Linked DNA regions of Stegostoma tigrinum. The protein of the gene in region 1 interacts with the protein of each later gene in a pairwise test. Links are inferred from orthologs where the notes say so. Each region holds a gene or a part of one and is shown on either strand. Other genes may lie near its edges.

Region 1 (8,220 bases):
CTTTCAGTTTTTCAGCGTCGGGCCCATCTGCTTATTGCCCTGTCCCAGTTGCACAAAGCACACCATGCTAAGATTATGCAGCACACCCTTTCTGGAGTGTACAGAAAAGCCCTGCAGAACAATCCAAACATTGGGACATCATCTTCAACAAATGTATCATCTGCTCCAAGTTGACCCTGATAGAAGAATGGGCTGCGTTGTATCTATGTTTGGCCTCAGTTACGGGACTATGTAATGAAATAATTAGCAATGGTTGCAGAAGGCAGTACTTGTCTCCCAGTAAGCATCTTTGTTATGCATTCAGCCCTTGGAATGAAGCAGGAAATAAGACTTCTCAAGAATACATGCATCATGATGCAGAATTCTAAGGTGTGGTATTGATGGTCACAGATGACCTGCACATTAATCGAACGTAAGTCTTTTCTCATAATGAAGCAAACCATGTTATGATATGGCACTCTCAATGCAACATGTGTACAATCTATAGTGTTCTGCACCTGGAGGATGCCAGATATGTTGCCAAAGTCTACTGTCCGGGCTGTAGTACTGACCTTATCATTGGTAAATGAGATAAAACAGTGTGATCAGTAAGAATCTTAATACATTTGTGGATCAAAGGTTGTTAGGTGCCCATACAGATTCTCAGTGGCTCCTCAGTGGCCAGTTACGAGCAAGTTTAGCATCCACACAAAAGAAGGCAATTGCTCAGCGGTGTTATTGCTGGACTGTTAATTCAGAGGCCCAGGTAATGTACTGGGAACCCGATTTCGAAACCTCCCACGGCAGATGGTGGAGTTCTTATTCAATAAAAAAAATCTGGATTTTAGAGTCTAACGATGATCATGAATCCATTGTCAATCGTTGAACCTATCTGGTTCACTAATGCCCTTCAGGGAAGGAAACTGCCATCCTTACCTGGTCTAGCCTACATATAACTCCAGACTCACTGTAATGTGGTTGGCTCTTCACTGCTGTCTGGACAATAACTGCAAGCCCAGCCAGAAATGCCTTAATTCTGTGAATATATTAAGAAAAAAGTGCTGCAGCTTCAATTCCCACATTTGTCATAGTTCTGTGACAGTATCCTGAGATATCCTCAATCTGCAGCAAAACTGCACCTTGTTCCTCTGAGGGAAATGGCATGTAGCACAAAAGGCTCTACAATGTATAGGAAGGTTAGAGACAATTGTTGGAGGATCAGACATTTTCCTGCTGACATTGTGGATCTCATCACTGCCTATCTCACCTGCTTTACTCAAAATTCTTGTCAATGCCCTGACTTTCAGGAACTGGGAAGATTCTGCCTTTAATGTCTGGGTTTTCTGAAACAAAAATCAATCCTTGATTATCCTAAACTGAAAACAAGCTTCAATGCCTTCAGTGATTACTCTACCTGCCGTAAACCACCCCAGTACAAACAATTTTCCATCAACTCTTCACGGCATTCCTGCTCTCTGACACACACTGGATTAGATCACTGTTCAAAAAACACTGCCTCAACTAACTTTCTTCAAAAAAAACTTCATAAAAGGAGGTCACTATCTTAAAATCCAACACCTAAAAGTGATATTCATAAGCTTGTACATATTTCACACATACCTCTTTTGTTTCACCTACCAACTTTGTTTGCATTAAAGCCCACATGGTCATTGGCCACTTTGTTTGTTTAACCACTTTCTCAAATGAGATGAGAAAGGCTTCTACATTCTTCTCGTCAAATTCAAGCAATGCTTGGATATATTTAAACATATTTCCCACCAGGCCTTTGGCTACAATGGGTTTGCTCCACGTCACTACCTTCCTCACTAAGCCTACCTGCTACCTTCACCTCCATCTTTCTATGTCAAGTTTCCTGTCTAACTGCCAACTTCTAAAGTTCAAACTCTCTCTCTTTCTTCTACTAGAGCCTTTCTCTCCTTTTCTATTTGTTCTGCCAGAGTGATTCTTTCCTTTTCTCTTTCTTCTGTTTTCAACCATAATTCAAATTATTTCAGTTCAAGCTGCTTCATCTGCAATTGAATTCTAGCCATTTCCAAAGATTCCAATGACATTTCCTGCAAACTTAAATATCAAGCTGTTGCTGTAATGATCTCTCCTTTTCTTGTAAAGACAACCCCAAATACAGCTTGTCTGCCAATTCCAACAACTTTGCCTTGCTCACCTGTTGTGAATCTCCCAAAGTAACTTCTTCTACCTCCGGAGAACTCCTAGTGACTGAAAGAGGCATTACCACACAAAGCACTGTTTGAACCAACCAAATTCACCACCTGAAACAAAAGACACAAACCCCTACCACTTCCCACCTTTGAGTCTAACAACCCTAAAGCCAAACTGGAATTATAGAATTATCCTGACAAGAGGCCCCAACCTGTTATGGACCAGGCCAGACCCCCTCAAAATATTTTAGAAGGTAGCCTAGATCCTAACTTTTCCTTATTTTAAAGGTGGATGTAAAGTGGGTGTTCCAGCTGTGATGTAACTGGTCAAACCACTTGGCTTAAAGCAAAACACAATTTATTAAAACACTACAGTTAAAACATGAACAAAAGAAAGTAGAATTTAGAATAACTTAAATATAGGAAAACTTAACCAAATACTCAATACAGTAACTTAACAAATAGCTGTTCCAATATAGTAACATTGCATAAACACACTCCTTGGCAAAAAGGTAAATTCAAACACAGATCGCACTGGCAGGAGGGAACAACAGCCAGAGAGATTCCAGAGAAAGTCTGCTTAGAATAATTTACTGAAGCTTGCAACCCTCTGCTAATCAAAACATTTTGTGACTGCCACAGCGAAAAAAGTTCAGAAAAAAACGTGAACTGGGTAATCGGCCATAACCCTTCTAACTGTTACTTCCTGGTCTCTTCTGTACTTCTACCTTTACAACCTCTCTTCAAAAAAACTAAGAGCAAAATAACCTTTTTAAACTGATAGCATTGTCACATACCGCAGAAGTCTTTTACATGCCTTTGTTACCTCTACAGTACACAATGTTCATTCTCTTCCATTTAAACTTAAATCCTAAGCCAGCAGCCAATGTCCCAAACTGCAACAGGCCTTGCTCCTTCATTATCCCGGATGGAGCTGATTTACACTGGGTTGAGCAACACCTTGAATTTAAAATAGCCATCATTGTTTCCAAAGTCTACCCATTTCCTTGCTTCCTCATATCTTTGTTACTTCCATCAGCAATACAACGTGATAAAATACCTGTTCAATTTACATATTCACAAATTTACCAGCACTACTATTGGCAGCCCCTTCAGCTGCTCAGGTCATAGTAAAACTCTGGGAATCTGTCCATAAATTTCTCTGTCTCTCTTTCCTTCTTTTAAGAAACTGTTTATAATTTGAATATTTTTAGGCCTTTTATGTAAGGAAAGATATATTAGCATTGGAGGCAGTCCAAAGAAGGTTCCCCAGGTTGATCTGGTGTAGGGAGACATTTTCATATGAAGTGAGCTGGAGTAGCTTGGGCTTGTACTCATTGCAGTTTAGAAGAATTAGAAAGGACTTGCGAGGGTAGATGCACACAAGTTGTTTCCCCTTGTAGGAATGTCAAGGAACTGAGTGCATAATCTTAGTGTTCAGCGTTGCCCATTTACGACAGAAATTAGATAGATTTTATTCTCCCAGAGGGTGGTAAATCTATGGAATTTCTTGATGCAAGGCAACCAAGGATTTTGGAAATAAGGTAGGAAAATGAATTGAAAGGAGGACTTGAAGGGTTGACTGGGCTACTTCAGCTTCTATGTCTTGTTGTCTTATATTGGCTTGGCCACTGGTGAGAATGCTGTCACTCTTCTTTGAAAAAAATAGTGGGATGCTTTACGTTTAACTGAGGGAAAATGAAATCTTTAGGTGAAAACCTGATTGAAAGGCCCTCGTAGAACAGCCAGTTGTCTCCTACATTTAGCATCAACCTCCAGATAACTATTGAAAGCAATCTGGATAATTTGAAATATTATTTTAAGCAAATAAATATGCTGTAAACAGGTACTGAGATGGGTGGCACACACAGATCATGAATCATATTGGGTAAAAGTTTTCTATGGTGTGTATTTGTAGGAGAAAACATATGTACACTCTAGGTTGATGGCTTACTCGACAAGGGGTGCTCAGCAGCCACCCTTGCTCGTACATTGAGTGCAGGGAACACAGCACTTCTGCAGGAAGCAATTGGCAGGTCTTGGGATCATGTATCTAAATGAGCATACAGGCAGCTCTTACTGCCTGGTCTTGGGTCCCATTTGTTTTTACACCATAATCTGCAAAAATGAAAACCATGAAGAGAGAGCAGGCTACGGTTACCCCAGTAGAAGCAAAGTAGCTTCTCCTCGGTACCCAGGGTGTGTATCCAGGGATATCATCTTTCATGGATGCCTATAAGTTTGTATTTGGCACAAGGCAAGGCAATGATTGAATTCGGGTAAGCATTTAGCTTTATCCGCCCCAGAAAAAAATATCATGATTGAGTGATGCTTGAACATGCCGACATTTCTGTGGCATTACTCTACAATTAGCGAGGGTGGGGTGCATTGAAGGGTAGGGACAGACCTTTCAATAGTGGACAAGAATAAGCTGCAGATGCTGGAAATCAGACACACACACAAAAACAGAAATTGCTGAGGGGTACGATGCACAGCCGGTCTATGGAGAGAAAGTAAGAGTTGATCAGGTCCAGTGATGGTTATTTTTGCTTCCATCGCATGATTTTCCTCCTAGTGTCTGACACAGAAAGCTCTGACAGATTCACTCCCCTGCAGCACTGCACCAGCATTTAGTGCCTGAGTTCCAAAACGAAGACTTGCACCAACAGCCTCAAGCACGGCAAAGCAAGGAGACTAACGACTACACCACACTCGCCAGCCAGCACGAACGCCCTGGCAACAAGATGCGGACCTCATCCACGCCGCAACGGAGGAGGTGGTCACGTGACCTACCCGTTACACCCATTTCCCCTTCCCCCGGCGGTGGTTTACAGCTTGACCCGGATGTTGTTTTGCGTGGCCGGTGATGGAGCAGTGCGGGTGAGATCGGTGGGGCGAACGATTGACTGACTGACTGACTGAGTGAGTGAGTGAACGAACGAACGGGAAAAGCGCTCGGTCTCCATTGCACCCTGGTTGCCGGCAGTTACCGGTCTGGTCCGGTGTAATCCAAGCCCCGGTGGGGCTCGCCCTGACTGGGTGGGCTCCTCCGGGACTGAGGTGGAGGCTGGGCCGCCTCTGGGTTAAGGTCGTCCCTGACCTTTGGTGTTGCACCGCTGCAGCCCCAGGTCCTCACCGCAAGAAGCTCAAGTCCGATTAAAACAGGCCGTTTTTGTTTTGCCCAGGTGGTTTGACAGGTTCGTTTCATCTTGTTAAAGTTCACCTTGTTTGATGCTCTGATCGCCGCAGTTGATTGATTTCACTGTCCGACTATTTATTTGATTAAGCCAGGCCACCGCGAACAGTAAAATTGCCATAGTCCTACCAAACCATAGAAAAGACGACCGCTGGTGGTTTAACTTGAGGGTTACCACACTTTAGACAAAGGGCGAGCTGGAAAAGGTGGGGTCTTCATGGTCACCTCAACTGGTGCGGGAACAGTTGTGATGAGTAGAGAAATAGTCTCGAAACGCGTGGTGATCCAGCTTATTCTTTTCAATCTGAGCGTGCGCTGGGCAAGATCAACATTAGCATGGTCAGCATTATTTGAAGTTAGAGTCCATTCATCATAAAAGTGAATGGAGTCATCTTAGGCTTCACGGGTTAGGCATGGCATAGCATTGTGGAACAAGTGTTCATATTCAAGATCCTCTTGGTTGTTAGGTGATTAATGCTGTCATGAAAATGTACCGTGTTTTATCTGAGGACGCGATATTTGCCATGAGCAGTCGATTTTTAATCTTTAGACTAATGGTAGCGAAATGAAATGTTTGTTAGTTGACTAATTTGGTGGTTTTCAGCTTGCCAGTCAGTTGGAAGCTATAAATCTAAAAAACACAATTTGTACCTGCTACAAAAGGAAATTTAAAAGATTTTTTTAAGCTGAACACAAAAAATGTCTGTCCAGATATTGAGATCTCCAGGTAGTTTTCAACCTCGAGAAATAATTGGCTTGTTTGGGAAAAGATGTGGTTAGTAAGTTGATACATACGCATGATGTGTGCCAACAGCCAGATTTTTTTCTTGTAATTTGATGAATCTATGATATACTGTGGAAAGACTTTTTTAAAATTCACTCTGACTTGCTGTTGTAGCCGTAATATTTATATTGCTGGCCCAGTTCAGCTCTGGTCAATGGTAACTCCCCAAGATGGCAGTGCAGAATTCAGTGATGATAATGCCATTGAATGTTGAAGCGTGATGGTTAGATTCTCTGTTGATGATGCGCATTGTCTAGGCATATTTCTGGTGCAAATGTTACTTGCCACTTCTCAGCCCAACTGTGGAATATGTCCATGTCCTGTTGCATTCAGAGGCTGAGGAGTTGCGAATGATAGCGTGTTTTATCTGAGGACATGATATTTACCTTCAGCAGTCAATTTTTAATCTTTATACTAATGATAGCTAAATGAAATGTTTGTTAGTTGACTAATTTGGTGGTTTTCAACTCGCCAGTCTTATGGTCGAGGGAAGCAGCAAAGTTGAATGGGCTTTGGATATTCCCCCTAAAGAACTTTTGTGTGAAATGATTTTAGTGTCTCTTTCCCTACAATTTTTAAACTGGTTAACTGTTGAAGTATAGGCTTATCGTTGTCCAACTTAGAAAGGCTGCACATATCTATCTAGTCATAATCAGAAAATTATCTGCGATGGCTACTTTCTCATTCTGACATTGCTAGCCTGAGGTAACAATGACCTATGCTAGGTCTGCTCTTATTCTCTTGCTGCCCCTCTGTGACATTCTGTGAAAGTACAGTGTTAGATTCCTGCATATACATTGGCAAAACACAGCTTCACTTCCTCTTTTACCATCTGCTGTCTTGAAATTTTCTGATGATATGATATCCAGTACTTTCAGTAGAACTTTTTATTTTCAAACTGAATGTTGAAAAGACTTTAATTATTGTCTTCCACTCAGCCTGAAATAACTGCAGAGAAGTCGCGTGCCATCACCAAATCCCCTTTTATTTGCTCTTGCATAGTCCACTGGCTGCGGCCAGTTAGTTCGGAGTCAGTCCTCAATTGGGAAGATTCCAAGCCCCTGGTTATTTTCTTTTCTGGCTTTTTTTTTGTAAATTCAAAAACCAGAAAGATACAGTGTCATAAACACATTACATAGCATCAGTCACTATACATAAAAATAAGTTGCCAAAGAGCAGAGACATTTAGGATAGAACGTCCTAAACAATGACATCTGAATTTAAACAGTAAATCCAAAGTCCACATTAAGTTAGTGACTTAAACACACCATGTGGCAAAGTCACTAGGCAACAAGAAATTTTGTCGAAGAGCAGAGACGTTGACGTAGAACGTCGTATAGAAACACATCTTATTTGCAACAGTAGTACAAAATATTACAAGTAGACATACATTCAAGTCCACATAAGGTTACGGAGTATCAAACACGATACGTGGCAAAGTTCCTATGCATCAAGGCAAGCTGCTAAAGAGCAAAGACATGGAATTAGAATATCGTATAGAAACATCTCATTTCAAACAATAGTACAGAATGTTATAGATAAGCGCGCATTCTAGGGCTATCGGTTGGCCTGCACATGGACCAGCAAGATACAAAGGCATGATGCATACACAAAAGCATATTCTAAACAGGAAGGCAAAGTCCAGCACATGAAAGCTCAATCTTGGACCCATACACTGAAACTTGTGTCACAAAGTCTGGGTCCTGTTACCACGTTACCCTTTCATTTTACCTGTACAACAGTACCACTGGCTGTAGTGAGCCAGCTCTGAGTCAATCCTCAATTGAGGAGATTATAATCTCCTGATTATATCGGTCAGCTAAATCTTTTCTGATTGGCCCAGGTTAATAACCCCAATGAAGAACCTTGTTAATGATGTCAACCTATTTCCCAATCACTACACAGCCCCAACTGCTGTCCTCCAGCTTCGGGTTCCATTCCACTCCCTGGCTATTCTCAAGTGGAGTCATACTATTTGTAACTGTACTCACATTGGACTTCAACATGAGCTTCTAATAACTAAGGCTGTCTGCTTTCCCCTCCATAATATTGTATGACTTTGTGCCGACCTCAGCTCACCAGCT
Region 2 (8,650 bases), on another chromosome or scaffold:
TGGGTAAGAAACTAAATTAATATTTGGCACCAGTATTTACTGTGGAGAAGGAGCTAGGGAACTTGGGGAAATAAATAGAATTATGTTGAAAAGTGCCCATATTATAGAAGAGGAGGTACTGGATGTCTTAAAATGTTTGCTTTGTGCACTTCCTGTGCAGCCACAACCTTGTATTCCTTGCTCTGTCTAAGCAGCCTCTGATCTATATGTCCTTGTTTGCTATGATCACCCTGTACTGCTCGCAAAACAAAACTTTTCACTGTACTTTGGTACATGTGACAACATTAAATCAAATCACATCAAAGCATAAAGGTGAAATTAATCCCTGGGACCTGATTATGTGCATCCCAGAGCTTTGTGGGAAGCTAGGGAATTGATTGCTAAGACCCTTGCTGAGATATCTATGTGTCTTCAATAGTCACAGTTGTACTGCCGGAAGACCAAACTGTGGCTAACATCGAGCGATTATTTAAGAAAGTTGGTAAGGAAAAGCAAAAGAACTATCTATCAGTGAGCTTAAAGTTAGTGATGGACAAGTTGCTGGAAGGGATTCTGAGAGACATTTACATGTATTTGGAAGGTCAAGGTGTGATTAGGGATCTTCAACATGGCTTTGTGCGTGGAAAATTGTGTCTTACTAACTTGATTGAGGTTTTTGAAGAAGTAACAAAGAGTTGGACATGATCTCTATGGACTTCAGTAAGGTGTTCGACAAGGTTCTTCATGGTAGACTGGTTAGCAAGTTTAGAATATCTGGAGATCTAGCCGTTTGGATACAGAACTCTCGAAGGCAGAAGGCAGAGAGTGAAGTTGGAAAGTTGCTTTTCAGACTGGAGACCTATGACCAGCGGGTTGTCATATGGATCAGTGCTGCTTCCACTGATTTTTGACGTTTATATAAACAATTTCGATGTGAAGGTAGGAGATATGGTGAACAGGTTTGCAGGTGACACCAAAATTGGAGGTTTCGAGGCCAGCGAAGAAGGTTACCTCAGTGTACAACGGGATCTTGATCAGATGGGCCTATGGGTTGAGGAATGGCAGATGGAGTTTAATTTAGATAAATGTGATGTGCTGCATTTTGGAAAGGCAAATCAGGGCAAGAATTATGCGCTTAATGATAAGGTCCTGGGGACTGTTGCTAAACAAAGTTATCTTGGAGTGCAGGATCGTAGCTCCTTAAAATTTGAGTTGAAGGTAAATAGAATAATGAAGGTGTGTGGTATGATTACCTTTACTGGTTAGTGCATCAAGTAAAGAAGTTGGGAGGTCATGTTACAGTTGTACAGGCCATTGTTTAGGCCACTTCAGGAATACTGCATTTAATTCTGGTCTCCCTGTTATAGGAAAGATTTTGCCAAGTTTGAAAGGCTTCAGAAAAAAATTACAAGGATGTTGCTGAGACTGAAGGCTGGGGCTATTTTCCCTGGTGCATCTGAGACTGAGGGGTGAGCTTATAGAGGTTTACAGAATCGTGAGGAGTGCCAGGAGCGTGAATAGCCAAGGACTTTTTCCCAAGGCAGGGGAGTCCAAAAACTGGAGGGCACAGGTTTAACGTGAGAGCGCTAAGATTTTAAACGGACCTAAAGGGCGACATTTTCACACAGTGCCAGAAGATGTGGTAGAGGCCAGTACAATTACACCATTTAAAAGACATTTGGACGAATGTGGTGTGGAGTGGACGAGTTGAATTGAAGTGTCTGTTTCTGCGCTGTACACCTCTTCATCACTCTACGTGATGTCCCTCTTATAATAAGAGGGGGGGGGGCGCGCTGGTTTAAGGAAATTAAACACTTAAATGGAACAAAACACCAGTTCTGAAGAAGTCATACCAGACTTAAAACATTAACCTTGTTTCTATGTCCACAGATGCTGCCAGTTTCTCCAGCATGCTCTGTGCTTGTTTAAAAGCAAGACACCGTGGATGCGGGAAAACTGAAATAAAAACAGAATGTGCTGGAGAAACTCGAAGTGTGGCAGCATTTGTGAAGAGAGAGAAACAAAGTTAACGTTTCAACTCCCATTGAGCCCGAGAACTGAGAAGTCATAGTGATCCTGTCTCGCCCCACAAGTTTCTCCAACACTTTTTGTTTTTTTAAAAAAAATCTTCTCATCCAAAAGTCTACTCGGGGCGGGGAGCTGCAGGGAGACTCGCCTCTTTCGCCACGCTTCGTTTGTCGAGCATCCAGGACTGCAGGAGGCAGCACCGGACACGCCGTTAGCAAAGCAGCTGAACATTGACAGCTGCGAGGTACCTCCTAAGCTTTCAGGAACTTCTTGGCGCACACTGAAGCTACGACTAGACAAGAGTTGTTATTTTTCACTTAGCATTTGCTGTGGATAAATGCGTTTTAACTTTGACGTTCCCCGTGGGATCCCTGAAGTGTTCAGATAGTCTTACAAGGGGATGGGCGCTGGGGCGAATGGAATGTTGACCCTGATTGAGAGACATTGTAACAACTTCGTGACCAGCAGCGGGTAATTTCTTAGCGTCGGACTGCTACTCTGAAACTGCTATTATTACAGTAATTATTGTATCCTTTAAGCAGGAGTGCACTCTCTCCACGTGCAGTCTATAGATTTGGCTCGAGAGAAACGCAAAGGTACAAATGTCCTAACTTTTGGAATATTTGCGCGGAGTTTAACGTTGCTTTTAAACGGCCGAATTTGGAGTTGAACTGTGTTTTCGTCATGCTGCTCCACCCCTGTTCAATAGTAAAGTGCTCCGGTGGATTCAGTCAGTCTGACGCAGCCAGTAGCTCTCCCGTAACCTTATTATAGTTTTAAATAACGACGTTTCGGGCGTGTATAAACTCGCAGTTAAACAGTCTGGTTCTTAGCTTTGCGTATTCATCTCACCCCACCCCTCCACTGTTGTAGGTCTTCCTTTTGAATGTCTTGCCTTGACTTATTTGTCACGCTTTGATCCCCTGAGTCAGGTTCGCTCCAGAGATTGTCTTTTAATTGTATAACGCTTTCCATGACCCTTAAAGGGCTGTGCAACCAGTAAATTGCTTTTTGAACATTTGTAGTCGCTGTTGTAGTGTAGGAAACACGCTAACGTGCTCACAGCAAACCCTCAACATAGTATGATAATGACCAGTTAATATGCGTTTGTAGTGTTTTTTGGAGAATAAACATTGGGCAGTACTTACAGTGTCATGAGATTTTTTTTATGGCCACGGAGCAGACAGACGGTCCTCAGTTGAATGTTTTGTTGAAAAGGCTGATGCCCTGGCAGTGCCGAGTTCACTTAACACTGATGTATCAGATTTGTTTTTTGTTGTGCACTGGTCCTGACGTGGAATTTGAACCTGGAACATTGTGACTCAGAGGCAACTGGGGCGGACACTCAAGCATAATTACCTATGCTCGTGCTCCAAAGCTGTACTGAGGGGTGTCAGTGATACCGTCTTCAAGTGTGATGTTAAACTGAAGCCCAGTTTCCCCTTACAGTTAGATGTACAAGGTCCAAAGGCACTGTTTCAAGGAGCAGAAGACCTTTCTCTGAGATCCTGGTCAATATTTATCCCTCAATTGACAATACAGAATGAACACGTTATCTGGTTATGGTATTACTGTGGGCAACTTGGTGCCGCATGTTTCTTGTTTTCTCTCATGGGTGTCATGTTTATGATAATACCACTGTGTGCGCATGCACAGAATTGGAGTGAACAAGGTGTGGAGCTGGACGAACACAGCAGGCAAGCGCATCTTAGGAGCACAAAAGCTGACGTTTCAGGCCTAGACCCTTCAGTGTTGCTTTCAAAGTTGCATCCAACAGCAAAGCACGATTTAGTTTAAAGAAATATAAATAAAGTCATTTGGCAAGAGCCCTTGGGAGAATCCTTCACAGTGCTGATGATATTTGGATATTTTACAAATTGTATTTACTATGTTTATATAGTCTGTGTGTTTTACAGCTGTTTACCCAGTTCTGATTTTTCTTCAGGGCTGCCCTTTTCAGCTATTTTTAGAAGATATTTAGTCATTTAATTTGATCAATATCTTATATGATGTCTATATGGCATGCAATTTTTGAGGTGTATCAGGAGCTTTTTGTAAAAACTTTGCTCCTGTTCCTTGTTGCCGTGCAGTTAGAGCTGCATGGTGCCACCCCACCTCCATCAGCCAATTACTGAGATCTGATAACGGAAATGACAGAGGCTGTAATTCATAAAACATAGAACACAGAGCACAGAAGAGTACAGCACAAAAACAGACTCTTCGCTCTACCCTCTGTGCCAACCTTTATATCATTCTAAGGAAATCTGACCTGCCTGCACATGGTCCATATGCATTTGTTTCTTCCTGTCTATGCGTCTGTCTAAATGCCTCTTAAGCATTACTATCTAATCCCCTACTAGCTCCCCGGCAGCACATTCTGGGCGTGTACTGTCCTCTAGATTTTTCTAAAATAAACTTTCCGTGCACATCTCCTTTCTGAACTTTTCTCAACTTACTTTTAAACCCTAGCATTTGATATTTCCACCCTCGATTAAAGACTCTGACTCTCCACCCTACCCATGCCTCTCATAAATTTATATCCTATCAGGTTGTCCTTCAGTCTCCGATACTCTCATGAGTCTAAGTTTGTCCACGCTCTCCTTATAGCTAATGCAATCCAGTCCAGGCAACATCCTGGTGAACCTCTTTTTTTTTTTTTACATCCTCTCCACATTATTCCTATTGTGTGGCAACCAAAATGACATAGTATTCCAAGTGTGGGGTAACTAAAGTTTTGTATAGTACAGTTGATTACAACTCATTTAAAATATTACTTGGAAGTCCTTCTTCCCCTTTTAATGTTTGTGCCAGAGTACAGAGCAGCAGTTACACAATTGTTCTTTAAGACTATACTGAATAGAAGCAGAAGCAGATCACTTGGCCCCTTGATCCTGCTGTGCCTTTGAATACATTCTCAGCAGATTTGTCCCATTCCTGTTCTCTCCTGGTATCTCTTGATTCCCTGGTAAATTAAACAACTGTTTATCTACCTGCATATAATAATGGAGCATCCTCAACTCCTTTTGGTTGAGAATAATAAAGGTTTACAACCCTCGGACTGAAGAGATTATTGAAAAGAAAAGCGTGTTACTGAAGTGTTTTTCTTGTGCTCATCAGGACAAACACAAGTTTGCCAAATTTCAAATGAGCACAACAATTTATACTGCAGGAGGAAGGGCTTCTGATTGGTTTACAAATTGACCTTTGAGGCATTGCCGTGGAGAAAACAAGAGGGGCTATAGACTCCCTAAGTTCCAGGTGACTTTTCTGGGGTGGGGGGCTGGGGGGAAGTCAATGCATAAACATAATCCTTCTTTGTGTAGAGAATGGATCGCTTTGAATGTATGGCACTGCAAGAGAGTGTACACAAGTCTCTATAATAATGGTAAAGGCTCCATTGATTATTTTATATTGGCTGTTAGTGTAGCCATTAATGTACAGGAAAGTTCTGCAGTTGGGCAGTACTGGCTGAATTACATTTAACTGATACTTTGTTTGCAAGAGCATCCTGCAATGTGTCAATAAAGAACTATTAAAGGAACATGTAGTTTGATTTGATCACCTGATCACTGGGAATGTAGGGCCAACATAACTGATAATAGTGCATCAAAGTAACAAAGTGTGGGGCTGGATGAACACAGCAGGCCGAGCAGCATCTTAGCAGCAGGAGAGCTGGCGTTTTGGGCCTAGACCCTTCATCAGAAAAGGGGATGAGGAGAGGGTTCTGAAATAAATAGGGAGAGAGGGGGAGGGAGACTGAAGATGGATAGAGGAGAAGATGGGTGGAGAAGCGAGTATAGGTGGCGGGGGGGAGGAGGGGGTGCGGGGGTGTGGATCGGTCAGTCCGGGGAGGACGGACAGGTCAAGGAGGCAGGATGAGGTTAGTAGGTGGAAAATGGAGGTGCAGCGTGATGTGGGAGGAGGGGATAGGTGAGAGGAAGAACTGGTTAGGGATGCGAGGACGAGCTGGGCTGGTTTTGGGATGCAGTGGCGGGAGGGAACGAGTTGGGCTGGTTCTGGGATACAGTGGGGGAAGAGGAGATTTTGAAGCTTGTGAAGTCCACATTGATACCATTGGGCTGCAGGGTTCCCAAGCGGAATATGAGCTGCTGTTCCTGCAACCTTCAGGTGGCATCATTATGGCACCGCAGGAGGCCCAGGATGGACATTTCGTCTAAGGAATGGGAGGGGGAGCTAAAATGGTTCGCGACTGGGAAGTGCATTTGTCTATTGCTAACCGAGCGGAAGTGTTCCGCAAAGCGGTCCCCAAGCCTCCCCTTGGTTTCCCCAATGTAGAGGAAGCCACATCGTGTACAATGGATGCAGTATGCCATTAGTGCACCAATGCTTCTCTTTGGGGCAGTGGTCATCCTGATCAGGGTGTTGTTTGCTATGTATCATGCAAACTGATAATTAGTGTAGCATTAATAGCTACACCAGCAGCCAACTTTAAATAATCAATGGAGCCTTTAACATTAACATATGTATCCTCTCTAGTAGTGACATAAATAGGCCATAGGTCCCTAACTTTGGACCTCCAGAAGTACCTAGTCCGCTGCAAATTAACCTGGAAAACAAAGTATCTCCAAATGTGATTTAAGCAAGCTATTACTATGCAAAAGTCACACAATTGGTATTTCTTGCTTGCAGGATATTGCAATAAATCCAGAAAAAACTTTCTGCCTGCTACACAATTATGTAACATCATGTTTCAGACCAGGCTGTGGTGATTGTAATGAGGTCAGCCAGATGGACAGATCAGGGCTGTTAATTTGGGAGCCGTGGCTGACAGATAAGAACCAGGAGTGTCAGACATCCTAGATAACAAAGTGTGGAACTGGATGAACACAGCAGGCCAAGCAGCATCTCAGGAGCACAAAAGCTGACGTTTCAGGCCGAGACCCTTGACATCCTGTTCACTCTGCGGTAGCTGAATCAGAGCCAAGTGAATACCTGGGGCTAATTTCCCTGGAGTGTCAGAAGCTGAGCGGTCACCTTATATAAGTTTATAAAATCATGAGGGGCATCGACTATGGTGAATAGCCCAGATCTTTTCCCCAGGGTGGAGGCCCAACTTTTTCAGAGGAATGAACTGCCAGAGAAGGTGGTGGAGGCTGGTACAATTACAACATTGAAAGGGCATCTGGATGGTTACATGAATAGGAAAAGTTTGGTGGGATATGGGCCAAATGCTTGCAAATGGGACTTGATTGTTTTAGGATATCTGGTGAGTTGGACCAAAGGGGCTGTTTTCATGCTGCATATCTCTATAACTCCATGATTCTGTAACTCTCCGCAGGTAAATGGTGACTTGATGATGGAGTATCTGCTTCTCTGGGGGTAGTTCACTAGTGCATTGTTGTGGTTTCTAGAAGTGACTTAGATTAATATGTAGGGTCTCATTATGTATACAGCTAAAAGGAATATGGTCCATACTGGGTCTTACTTGAACCAACCATGGGCTTGGGGAAACTATTGTACTCCTTTTCTTTCTCCACAGCAATGCCTCAGGCAGAGTTGGCTTGCAAGCTCCTTTTTTTTCTGTAACGTAAATTCATTTGGTCGTTTGGTGTTTGGCATTCCTGTATTTGTACCAGATGAATACAAATGAAAAGGTTTGGATAATAGTAGCCTGACATAGATATCCTTGTTGACCACGTATTCCAGGGATGAGTGCAGGGCCAGGTACATAGAACATTACGGCACAGTACAGGCCCTTCAGCCCTCGATGCTGTGCCGACCTGTCATACCGATCTCAAGCCCATCTAACCTACACTATTCCATGTACGTCCATATGCTTGCCCAATGCCAACTTAAATGTACCTAAAGTTGGCGAATCTACTACCGTTGAGGTAAAGAAACTACCTCTGACATCTTCCTATATCTTTCACCCCTCAATTTAAAGCTATGCCCCCTCGTACTTGCCGTCACCATCCTAGGAAAAAGGCTCTCCCTATCCACCCTATCTAACCCTCTGATTATTTTATATGTTTCAGTTAAGTCACCTCTCAACCTTCTCTCTAATGAAAACAGCCTCAAGTCCCTCAGCCTTTCCTCGTAAGATCTTCCCTCCATACCAGGCAACATCCTAGTAAATCTCCTCTGCACCCTTTCCAAAGCTTCCACATCCTTCTTATAATGCGGTGACCTGAACTGTATACAATACTCCAAGTGTGGCCGCACCAGAGTTTTGTACGGCTTCACCATAACCTCTTGGTTCCGGAACTCGATCCCTCTATTAATAAAAGCTAAAACACTGTATGCCTTCTTAACAACCCCGTCAACCTGGGTGGCAATTTTCAAGGATCTGTGTACATGGACACCGAGATCTCTCTGCTCATCTACACTGCTAAGAATCTTACCATTAGCCCTGTACTTTGCCTTCTGGTTACTCCTACCAAAGTGCATCACCTCACACTTGTCTGCATTAAACTCCATTTGCCACCTCTCAGCCCAGCTCTGCAGCTTATCTATGTCTCTCTGCAACCTACAGCATCCTTCGTCACTATCCACAACTCCACCGACCTTAGTGTCGTCTGCAAATTTACTAACCCATCCTTCTATGCCCTCATCCAGGTCGTTTATAAAAATGACAATCAGCAGTGGACCCAACACCGACCCTTGCGGTACACCACTAGTAACT

What was found. The genes of interacting proteins can lie anywhere in the genome.
Region 2: the proteins of exoc2 (region 1) and ras-related protein O-RAL interact in a two-hybrid assay, tested with the Homo sapiens proteins (2 studies listed by BioGRID). The link is inferred for Stegostoma tigrinum from reciprocal best matches to the Homo sapiens genes EXOC2 and RALB.

What each region holds. Positions count from the first base shown.
Region 1 is NC_081355.1:15,617,214-15,625,433, forward strand, and holds the start of exoc2 (exocyst complex component 2), read left to right. Parts: upstream 1-4,979; 5' UTR 4,980-5,036; exon of another isoform or gene 5,037-5,078; intron 5,079-5,125; exon of another isoform or gene 5,126-5,353; intron 5,354-8,220. UniProt on the Homo sapiens protein: Component of the exocyst complex involved in the docking of exocytic vesicles with fusion sites on the plasma membrane.
Region 2 is NC_081360.1:89,329,790-89,338,439, forward strand, and holds the start of ras-related protein O-RAL, read right to left. Parts: upstream 3,257-8,650; 5' UTR 3,156-3,256; intron 2,604-3,155; exon of another isoform or gene 2,245-2,603; intron 1-2,244. UniProt on the Homo sapiens protein: Multifunctional GTPase involved in a variety of cellular processes including gene expression, cell migration, cell proliferation, oncogenic transformation and membrane trafficking.